3 linked regions of the Canis lupus familiaris genome follow. The protein of the gene in region 1 interacts with the protein of each later gene in a pairwise test. Links are inferred from orthologs where the notes say so. Each region holds a gene or a part of one and is shown in the gene's direction. Other genes may lie near its edges.

Region 1 (3,645 bases):
ATCTTACTGCTTAATAGGAATGATAACCATTTACGCAAATATTTTTATTTTTGTACTTTCCATTGACCATAGTTTTTCTCTGTTAGCACACAGGTCTGGAACTGTCTTATCAGACTTATGTGGTTTTTAGTGCAATAAAGAACTTTTTTAAAGAATCTGGTCCGGTGTGGTAATTTTTCTAATGAATATCAAAGCCAGTGAGTAGGGATCAGATGAACTGAATGTCTCTAGGTGATAAGGTACCTCTGCAAGTTTTGGTGGTGTGTCAGCAGAAACTGTCAGAGTCAGAGTACTGGTGTTACACATCCCACGGAAACACATGAGGAGGTCTTCTCAGAGAATGAGCTGAGCTATAGTTCCTTGCCTGCCCTGTCTCCTGGGAAATTCAGAGACATGAAAGGTGTTCCCCTCTCTACTGTGTAGATGTAGAACTTGCGTGGTGCTGTATGCTTTGGCTTCTCTCTGCACACATTGCTTTCTCTGCTCCATCTCATAGCTTGGAAGTTGTTAATATGATTCCAAAATGGCCTGTTTTGTTTTGTTTTGTTTTGTTTTATTTTTGTTCTCCTTTCCAGGAGTGGCTGTAAGGTGAAGAAATATGAAACACAGTCTCTTGCTTTGGATGGATGTTCTCAGGTGAGTCTGTGCCTGTCACCAGAATGTCTCTTGGACCAGGGGTCCCCAAACTGGAGTTTGTGTGCTCCTGGGGAGGGGGGTATAATGAATAGTTTCCAGCAGGTAATCTGGTTTCTGAGTAATCTGGCTTTGAGGATACCAATTTCTTGACCCTCAACTTCCTAAAGTGACCTGAGAAGGCTCCTGAGAAAAGGAGTGCCCACTCATGTTACACTTTTCCCACTTCTTTGAGGTAAAATTTCCTGTCATTCTGAATCTTAATAAGATGCATTTTCACTGGATATGAAATGTCTGGGACACCAAACAAAGGGCAGATTTGAAATAATACTGCATGTTTTAAGAAAGTGATTAACTTTAATAACTGGATAATAAATTTCTTAAGTCAGATGGTTTTCCAATTCATTGCTTTCAGCAAAGTAGGAGAACTTGAGTTATAACCTGATAGACTATTAAAAATTATCTGACCCAATGTTATATGTCAGTTATATCTCAGTTAAAAAATAATGTTTTTAAAAGATTTTTATTTATTTGAGAAAGCACAGGCTAGAGGAGGGACAGAGTGGGACAAACAGACTCACCTCTGAGCAGGGAGCCCAGATGCAGGGCTCCTTCCAGAACCATGAGACTGTGACCTGAGCCTAAGTCAGATGTTTAACTGGCTGAGCCACTCAGGAGCACTCCCCTCCCAAAGTAACTTTTGATGATAGAATTTTTTGGTACATGACTTGGAAAGGGATTCAAAGAATTAAGAGACATTTCGATTTCTAAAACTTTTTTTCTCTTTCATCTGTTTGTATAAATAGGCTTAAATATCTAAGCTTCTTCTTGATTGATAATTATAAAAATGAAAAACAGGAATAAAATTCATGTGGATCCTTGTTTCCTTCTAGCAGTAAATATTTGCCCATGACTATGAATTGGAAAACACACACACAAAAAAACAAAAACCCAGACCCATTTGATTGTGATGAGACCTTTTAAAAAACTTTATTGCAGCATAACTGTGAATACAGAAATACATTAATTAGTTAATAAAATTCATTTTAAGTTTATTTTACACAGTTTGGACCAAAAACTTGGTACATGGCTGAAGATTAAAAAAAAGAAAGAAAGATTTGCCCTCTGATTTATTTTTTCATCTATTACAAATATGTAAAGTATCCAATTTCAAATGCTGCTAAAGCAGGCAACAAATTTCTGTGAGAAATTTACCTTTGATTTGATTCAGGAAAATAACACATATGACACTGCAAAAGTTTTAAATAATTGGTACAACAAAATGTAATTGATACTTCTTTTTAGTAGAAACTTTTGTATGTGATAGTACTTATCAAAAGTTGTAATAATTTTAGGATAAATTGTGCATTAGTTAATTATGATGATTAGTTGTCCAGAAGAAAAAATGTTAATGTTTAAAGATTTACAGTCATAGAAGTTTTTTTTAATTTTTAACTTTTTTAACTGAGAAAGATGATAGAACTTTAAAAGACTTTAAAAGGATACAGGTGCTTCTTTTTAAGGATAATTTCTTGGTAGAAGCAATGATGCAAATTTCTGACTTAAAACTATTAAAAATGTGTGTTCATGTTGATTTTAAGTAGATGATAGAATATCATCAAATCACTAGAGTAATTAGGTTGAACTAGGCAATTTTTAAAGTATACCGGATATTATATCTTACGAAGTTTTTTATATTTATGCTGAAAAGTTTTTGGATGTCACCTAAAATACAGTGGGTACATTGATATTTCAAAAACAATTCATGGGCTATATGAGCAAAATATTTGAAAACCACTGCCTTAGATCACTTAAACTTGTTGCTTATGAATCTCGGCTAGAAAAGGTTAATTTTTCAGACCTCATGTGTGAATAAGAGAAGCGAGGTTCTAGAAAGCATAATATTCCATAATTGAGATACCTCAGCTTCCTCCTTGATTGGTACCAAAATCTATGATTAAGTCTTATCTGACACCCATGTGGAATGGTGGCTGTCTTGCCCCATTCCTCAGATGTCACTTTCCCCACTGTTGGTCCTCCTAAATGGTAGCATCTGATCTGTTGCATTTCCTAGGATGAAGGAGCAGTGATCTCCCAGATTTCAGACATATCTAATAGGGATGGCCACGCTACCGATGAGGAAAAACTGGCGTCCACTTCATCTGGTCAGAAATCAGCTGGGGCCGAGGTGAAAGGTGAGCCAGAGGAAGACCTGGAGTACTTTGAATGTTCCAATGTTCCCGTGTCTACCATAAATCATGCGTTTTCATCCTCAGAAGCAGGTATGGAAGTATATGTTCATCTTTCTAATGTACATAAGCCTAGAAATGCCTGAAAGCTTAATGCAGGAGGCAGTTTAAAGAGATTAGAGAATTGGGTCACTTGGAGGATAGATGCAGGTTGCTGATCTGTGCTTTGCTTCTTTGCCTAGAGAAGAGATGCAGGAGGGCATCTTCTCGAAATACCAGAGCCATAGGGATGAGTGTGGCAGGATGGAGACACTGACATATGAGGCTGCTTGAATTTTGTGACTTATTTTATGTGACTTCATCTCAAAATATAGTGGCCTGTAGCCATGTTGTGATTGTTGTTCAGCGTAGAGAAATAATAATAACACGTATAGTGCCTTACCATGTGCAGGCACAGTGCTAAGTGCTTTACATCTATTAACTGATGACTCCTTGGTCAGTATTATTCCCCCCCCGCCCCCCATTTTTCAGAGAAGGAAGGTGAGACATAGAAGTTGAGTAAGTTAGCCAAGGTCACTTGATTAGCACATGGTAGAACTAGGATCCAAACCTTGGCAGTCTGGTTTTATGGTCTTTTAAGCACAATGCTAACATGGGAAGAGGTTGCTTTCACGACTAGAATATTATCCATTTTCCTGTTTGTAGGCTGAAATCGACAAATACCCTGAAAAATCCTTGATGTTCTACTAAGGACTAACTAGGCTTAACCTATGCTGAAGCTTCTTCCTGTTGAACTTGTAAGAACATTCTAGAGCTGAGGCCC
Region 2 (3,745 bases), on another chromosome or scaffold:
AAGGATGACCAGGGGCATTCCGGGGAAACGGGGAAGACCAGACGGAGGCGGAGCGCCTTCAGCAAACTAGGAACAGGAGGGGAAGCGTCCCAAGCCGCCCAACCACAGAGGCCTCCCACACGCGCTGGAAGCCGAGGGGCGGCTCTCATCTGGATGCAACCAGACCTGACACACTTTCAGAGACATCCCTCCTGCTGTGCCGCCCATGGACTGGGGGGTGTGTGAGACGCAAGTGGCCACCGGAGGCTACAGGAGAGAGATGGGGACCTGCGGCGGGCAGCTCAAGGTTAATGGGACACCACTCCCTGAGCTGCATCACCCAGGGAACCGGGGAGGGAGGACCTGCAAATACAAAGTGCGCTTAGGAGGATGTCCACCCCCCGGCTGGCAGCAGGCCCCCCGCTGGCCCGGAGACCTCTGACCCCAGCTGCCCGAGGAGGAGCACGCTGCAGCTGTCACCCCATGAGCATCACCGCCGAGTCCTCACTGACGTCTTCCTTTTGCAGATGAGCAACTGACGCCCGAAGCTGGGGCCTCCCTTGCCCAAGGTCACGCAACAGAACACGGGGCGGCGGTTGGACCCCACTCGGGACGCGGGCTCTCGGCCGCTCCCTGTGGGGAACCGGGGGCCACGCCGGACGGCTTACCGCAACCACGCGGGTGGGCGCTAACCTCGCGCGGAAGGGGAAACTGAGGCTGGGGGCCAGGCGGGGGGCGTCCCCGGCGGCGGCCGGGGGCCTCGGGACGGAGCAGGGCCTGGGGAGCCGGGGGGCCTCCCGGACTTCAGACCCAGGCGCAACTGGGCGACGCTGCGGCTGGGGAGGGCTCCGGGGGGGGCCGGCCCGCAAGGTCACGGCCCGGCTCCCGGCCCGCGGGCCACCGCGCGGGGGGCGAGCAGACCCGAGGCTGGCCCCCAGGCCAGGCCGGGCGGGGCTCCCGCGGGGCGCGGGGCCCGGGGCGGAGGGACCGGGCGCCGCAGCCGGCGGGGCCGGCGGGGCCGACGCAGCCTCACCTGGGTCGCGAGGAGCAGGAAGGCCGCCGCGAGCCGCGCCAGCGCCGCCGCCGCCGCCATGTCAGCCGGGTCGAGCCGCAGGCGTCGGCAGATGTTTCCCAGCAACGCCCCGGCGCGCCCCGCCGCGCCTGCGCCGTGTGCGCTCCGCGCCTGCGCACGGGGGCGGGGTCAAAGGGCGCGCGGCGGCGCCTGCGCAGAGCGGCGCGCGGCGGCAAGATGGCGGTGAGCGCGCGGCGGGGCCGGCTGGGCGGGCGGCGTGGGACCCGGCCGCGCTCTGCGCCTCACGCGCTCTGCTTCCCCCGCAGGACAAAGAGAAGAAGAAAAAAGAGAGCATCTTGGACTTGTCGAAGTACATCGACAAGACGATTCGGGTGAAGTTTCAGGGAGGCCGCGAAGGTGAGAGCCCCCCGCCGCCCGCCGCCCGCCCCGCCGCCCGCTCCCCGTCGACGGCTCCGGGAGGCGAGCAGGGTGGCGGATGCCCGGGCGCAGGCCGGAGCGCTTTGCTGGGAGGACTCGCGACGGCCTCCGTCCGACGCCGTGCACGCGGGGAAACTGAGGCACGGGAGGAGCTGCAGACACCCCGAAGCGGCCGAGGCGCAGGCGGGGTCCTCGCTCCGAGGCAGCCGCCCCCGCTGGTCCCCGCTGGTCACTGACCCCCGCCCCGGCTCCTTGGGCTCCGCACTCGTGACCCTGACGCCAGCCAGATTGTTCGGGGCTGTCGGGGCGCTGGGGGGAGGGGAGCAGCCAACCCCCGGATGCCGCCAGATGCCAGGACATGCCTTAGCTTGGGCACCCCAACCAGGCATCTCCCTTGCCGAGCCGCGGCCCGGTGTCAAGGATGGTCCAGAGGGGCCTGTTAAACACAGGTGGGCCCTCCTCTGGGCCGCCCGGTCCCTCCCGGGGAAGGGGCAGCCTTGCGGAGCTCTCAGCTGCCACCAGGCTGTGACGTGCACCCGCCTGCTGGGCTCTTACCAGGCTTAAAACACAAGGCTTCTCTGGGTGAATGAATTTCAAAGATCTCGGGAGCTTTCTCCCACTATTCACGAGCCAGGGAGCACCCCACCTAGGAGACGGCGCAGAGCCCCAGAGGGTTTCGTAGGCAGAGGGTGCAGGAGCAGACGCTGGATCGCTTCCGGCAGGGTCCCCCTCCTCTGGGGGATGCTGGGGGTTCTTTCAGGAAGACTAGCTCGGGAGGGCTGACCTGGAAGTTCCAGGCTGACTGGTGGAGATTGCATTCCTGGGAGAGCTGCAGGTGCGGCCAGGTTAGGTATGAGGCCGCGGTGGGGTGGCCGGGGCTTGGCACGAGTGACGCCGTTGGGAGTCTCTCTTTCTAACTCCAGGTTAACTCCACAGTCATTTTTCTGCTCTCAGCTCAGGATTCTTGTTCCAGGAAGCCTTCCCTGATCCTCCACCCTGGGCCCCACGCCTTTGGTGTCAGCTCCTGGTACCGTCTGTCACCGTTCCCCGCTTTACGCAGTAAACACGACACCGACCTCTGCATCTTTCCCCTGGAATAGTGAGGAGGGCAGGAGCTGGGCCCAGTGTTGCTGGTGCGTGTAGGCAGTGTGGCCTCTGGGGTCCTAGCACCAGGCAGCTGGAGTCAGAGCCACAGCTCTTTGGCGCACTGGCTGTGGGACTTCGGGCAGCTCACCCCGCCCCCCAGGGCTCCATTTCTTCACTCCCCCCACCTCACCGGGCGGTGGTGAGGATCACAGGGTTGGAGGCACCTTCGATGTGGTTTCTGACACAAGCAAGCACTTGAGCAACATTTCATTTCTTCAGCTGCCTCTTTGCTTTCGTTGTGTTTCATGAGACAGTGACCCAGATCCTTTCTCCCGGAGATGTGGACGATTGGGTAGCATCGGCGTGGTTAACAGCGCGGTGCCTGCAAGTCTAGGTAGCCAGCAGTGGTGAGAACTTGAACCCGAACAGATGTTTGCTCTGTCTGCGCCGTGCTGGCTCTGGGACCCGTGAAGGAGACACAGCTCTCGTTTCTCAGGGTGCTCATATGGGTTTTCTACGCTGTGTAGCAAGTTGCCACCACGTTAGCAGCTTACGCAACATGAATTTATTATCTTGTGGTGTTTGTCAGGAGGAGTCTGGGTGCCTTGGGCTCAGGGGCTCAGGTTGCACTAAAGGAGTGTCTCAGACGCCCTGTTGGTTGTGGGCAGGGTTTGGTCCCCTGCGAGGGTCCTACCCCTGTAGGACCAGGGTCCCCGAGCTCTGCTACAGGTGTCCTAGAGGCTGCCCGCCGGCCCTGGCCACAGCACTGTCCACAGCATGGCAGTTTGCTCCCTCAAGGCCAGTGGGAAGATCCCTCTCATGCTTTGAATTTTTTGACACAGTTCCTGTTCCCCTGAGCTCATCTGATTAGGTCAGGCCGGCCGAGCAGAATCTCTTTAGGTGAGCTGAGAGGGCACTGATTCTGGGACCGTAATCACACGTGCCCGTTCCTTCGTCTTTATCCTCCTGTAACCTAATGGCAGGAGTGGCATCCCGTCCTATTCACAGGTTCCCTCCCACACTTGAGGGGAGGGGTTCCACTGGGTGGTCACCGGGGTCAGCCCCATTTTAGAACTCTGCTCGTGCCCCACGGAGGAGGGCAGACCCGCAGGTGCGGCCACAGTGCCCGCTGCCCATAAGCTCGTCGGGGAAGTGTCCTCGGGACCTTTGTCTTGCGGGCGGAGGGGAGGTCAGTCGGGGAGAGAGGAAGGCACAGAGCCAGGCGATCTC
Region 3 (3,745 bases), on another chromosome or scaffold:
CAAAAACAAAACTGTATTATGACATTAGGGAAACTTGAATATTATGCAGCCAGTTATCCGGTTTGAACTCTACCAATGATCTGTTCAGTATGAAATTCAGATTCTTTCACTGAAGACGTGCAAGTTTTTCTTAACTCTCTTCCCGGTTTTGGAATGATCTGCTTCATAACAACGCTACCTTGGTCTAAGATATCCTACTTCTCTGTGATTCTTTAATAGTTTTAGAGGAATTCTTTGTTCCTGACTCTTACGTGAAATACTGGGATTTATAAGAGGAGGGGTTGTAAATAATGTTTGTTGTATGCAATACTCTGTCAGGCTCTACATTTTATTAACTGATAATCCCAGGGACCCTCCTTGAATATACTATCCCCTTTTCATAGAAGGGAATAACTGAGGCTAGCCTAGCTATTTTCACACTTGAATCTAATTAGGGAGTGAAGACCTGCACCTACATCCGTATACAATGAAACGAGATAAATGTTTACAGTGTCAAAGCCACGATTAGGTGTAAGAGTGGCCGCGGGAAGCAAAAGCTAGCGTTTGAGGGGACCCCTGCCCTCACACTGCCATGTGCCTGTTCCTATACAGGAACTTCCTGAACGAGGCCACAGGCTCGCATCCCCGGGAGTGGAACCTCGGGGGTGTGAATCCACTCAACATTCGCGTGTGTGACGAGGCGGGGGAGGACGAGCAGGACGAGCAGGACGAGCAGGACCGTCCCCGCGGAAAGCCGCGGCGGCGGCGGCGGCGGCGGCGAGCCCCGGGTGCTCGTCATTTACGGAAGTTGGCTGGGGGAGGGGGCTCGCCCTGCGGCTGCGCCCCGCTCCCCCCCCGCCCCCCCCGCTCCCCGCCCCCCAGCCTCTGCTGCCGCTAAACCCCGGAGCGCGGAGCGTGCACGCTGCGATCCCTCGGCGGCCCGGCCGCGGCTGCTGGGCATGCTCAGTGGGCAGGACCCGTTGGAGCGGCGAGTAAGGAAGCGCTGGCTCCTCCGCGGGTCTGCCGTCCCCGCTCGGGCCCCGGCCCTGGGCTTCCGTGCGCGCGGAGCCGCAGCCGCAGCCGCCGCCGCCTCCCCGCGGGGCCTGTCCGGCTTCCGCCGTTAACCTCGCGGCGCGGCCGGAGGAGGAGCGGGGCGGGGCGGGGCCCGCGGGCCGGCGGGCGGCCGGGCGGGCGGGAGGGCCCAGCCGGGGTGGGGGCGGGGGCGGGGCGGGGCGGGGCGGGGGCGGGGTGGGTGCGGGGAGTCCCGCGGGGGTGGGGGGGTGGGGGTGGGGGTGGGGGAGGGGAGGGGGCGGGCGCGGAGTCACGGGGGTGGGGTCAGCGGCGCCGGCTCGGGGAGGCCGGCGGGGAGGGGGCCGTGGGGGCGGCTCGGCGGAACCAGCCGCGGCCGGGGAGCGGCGGCGAGGCCGGGGGCCGGGGCCAGGGCTTTCCGGGCTTCGGTGAGGCCGCCGCGGGCCCCATCTTCCGGCGCTCGCCGGAGCTCGTGCTGATTGTTGCTGCCGCCGCCACCGCCCCGGCTGCCATCTCGTCCTCCTGGGCCGCCGCCGCCGCCGCCGCCGCCTCCTGGGCCGGGCCGATCCCCTCCCCGCCGCCGCCTCCTCCTGGGCTGGGCCCGCGGTGTCTCGTCCCCTCGCGGAGCCGCTCCTGCCGCCGCCGCCGCCGCCTCCTCATTCATCCTCGTGCACCATAGGCGGCACAGGCACCAAGATGTCCAACCGAGTGGTCTGCCGGGAAGCCAGCCACGCCGGGAGCTGGTACACAGCCTCAGGTAGGGCCCCAGGCCGGCCCCGCGTGCGGAGGGAGCGCCCCCCCTCCCCCCGGGGCATCCCGCGGGGCGGCCGGCTCGCCGCCGAGTGTGGGGCGGACGGCGCGCGCCCTCCCGGGGCCGGGCTGGATGGAGGCTGGAGGCCGGGACCCGAGCCCGCCCCCGCCCCGGCCCCGGCCCCGGCCCCCGCCTCCGCCCCAGCCCCAGCCCCAGCCCCAGCCCCGGCCCCGGCCCCGGCCCCGGCCCCGGGAGGACGGCGCGCCCGGCGCGGGGGAGGCAGGCAGGACCGGCGGCGGGGCGTCCCCGTCTCCCCTCCAAGGTGCCCGGCTGCCTGCACGGGAGCGCGGGCTCCGGACCTTCTCCGGCTCCGGGCTGGACGCGGGGTCCCCGCCTGCGAGGTCGCCTAGGAGGCGGGAGGCCCTTCTCTGGGACTCGCGGAGCCCGTCTGTGGGGGTAGGGTAGGAGGGCGGCCAGGCAGCGCTTGGGGCGGGTGGCCTCCCAGCTCTTTTGTCCGTGTTTTCATTGTTACTGTCACTCGCGAAAGGGGCAGCCGGAGATGGCATCGGCGCGCCGGCCTCCCCCCGCGGCCGCGCCAGCAGCAGCCCGGCCGCCCGCCCGCCCGAGCCGAGCGGAGCCCCAGCCCCAGCCCCAGCCCCAGCCCCAGCCCCAGCCGCAGCCGCAGCCCCAGCCCCAGCCCGAGCCCCAGCCGCAGCCCCAGCCCCAGCCCCAGCCCCAGCCCCAGCCCCAGCCCCAGCCTGCGAGCGGGGCCCGGGTCTCCGCCGCCCCGGCGCGCCGTCAACGCCGCCTACAAACACTCTGGAGCTCTTTTATGTAAGAAAGCCCAGGGACGTTCCCTTTAATACACAGTTGGGTTAGGGCCACTGTTTTTCCTGGGATTACTTTCACGGGTCATATTTCTGGTGAGTTAACAAAGAAAGTTCCACCGTGATTCCCCATGGTGTTCCGTGGTCTGGTACCGGCTTACGGGTAACCGGACCCAACTTCTCGTGCGGATCTCGCATTCACGCTTTCCCTCTTGCACCGAGTCGGGTTGGGGTAGGGACGTGGCTGGTGAGGCGACAAAGATCTGGAAGAAAATTCCTTTCTCTGAGTTGCTGCTACTCGGGACTCGGAAACACATGCACTTTCCCGACTCACTGGAGATTTGCGGTGTTAAGACACAAAAGAATCCTAATGCTTGGATTCGCAAAGCCTAACAGGTAGCCGGCTGTAGTTTTGTACCGAGCAAATGACATTTGGCTTTGCCTTCGTGGCCCTGGCGTACTTCACGGACACTTAATCAGTTCCCACAGCCTGAGAATGTCAGTTGAGCTTTCCTTGGTGGACACACATGGGGATGTGTCCGAGACTCTGTCCTGCTAGCCGGTGGCAGAACGGGAATGGAGAAACGGGAGTCCCTGGCTCCTGGGTTTGTCCCCCATTAAGTGCATTGCTAATATTCAATTTATCAGTGCCTAAATGGCCTTTTCTGGGTTGTAAGTCACTAAGCTGCTTTCTTCAGTGTGTTCTGAAGGGTTAGAAAGTCTCAGTTTTCACTTTCATGGCCATCTTCTGATGTATTTCTTTTGGTTTTGTTTTCTGTATCTTTCTATAAGTGTTTTAGACTTTTTGACGTAGTTTGCCTTGACATTTGGGCAAATAATTCTGGAGGAATTTTTATAGATTCTTGAATATTCTTTGGGTAGTAAAATAAGGTATATCTCACACTTTGGACTTGAAACGACTTCTTCAGTAATCTCAAATATAAGAAGAATCCTTTAATCTAGCCCCAAACATTCTCTGATTATAGCTACTTATCAGTAGTGAGTGAACACAAACTATTTTCTTCTTTTTTTGGGTATAAGTGTAATTTTATTTTATCTTTTTACAGTGTTATATTAGTTTCAGGTGTGTACAGTATAAAGATTCAACGATTCCTAAACTGAACTATTTTCTCAAACATTTGAAATGCAATCTAATTTC

The links.
Region 2: the proteins of TACC1 (region 1) and LSM7 interact in binary tests that used the Homo sapiens proteins (3 or more experiments, as listed by UniProt). The link is inferred for Canis lupus familiaris from reciprocal best matches to the Homo sapiens genes TACC1 and LSM7.
Region 3: the proteins of TACC1 (region 1) and MEMO1 interact in binary tests that used the Homo sapiens proteins (3 or more experiments, as listed by UniProt). The two-hybrid records come from large-scale screens. The link is inferred for Canis lupus familiaris from reciprocal best matches to the Homo sapiens genes TACC1 and MEMO1.

Annotation. Positions count from the first base shown.
Region 1 is NC_049237.1:27,442,948-27,446,592, reverse strand, and holds part of TACC1 (transforming acidic coiled-coil-containing protein 1), read left to right. Parts: intron 1-575; coding exon 576-636; intron 637-2,707; coding exon 2,708-2,915; intron 2,916-3,645. UniProt on the Homo sapiens protein: Involved in transcription regulation induced by nuclear receptors, including in T3 thyroid hormone and all-trans retinoic acid pathways. Might promote the nuclear localization of the receptors.
Region 2 is NC_049241.1:57,200,306-57,204,050, forward strand, and holds the start of LSM7 (U6 snRNA-associated Sm-like protein LSm7), read left to right. Parts: upstream 1-1,218; 5' UTR 1,219-1,228; coding exon 1,229-1,234; intron 1,235-1,317; coding exon 1,318-1,408; intron 1,409-3,745. Other genes in the region: SPPL2B (signal peptide peptidase-like 2B), read right to left, coding at 1,013-1,072. UniProt on the Homo sapiens protein: Plays a role in pre-mRNA splicing as component of the U4/U6-U5 tri-snRNP complex that is involved in spliceosome assembly, and as component of the precatalytic spliceosome (spliceosome B complex).
Region 3 is NC_049238.1:25,391,518-25,395,262, reverse strand, and holds the start of MEMO1 (protein MEMO1), read left to right. Parts: upstream 1-981; 5' UTR 982-997; intron 998-1,451; exon of another isoform or gene 1,452-1,687; 5' UTR 1,688-1,704; coding exon 1,705-1,765; intron 1,766-3,745. UniProt on the Homo sapiens protein: May control cell migration by relaying extracellular chemotactic signals to the microtubule cytoskeleton. Mediator of ERBB2 signaling.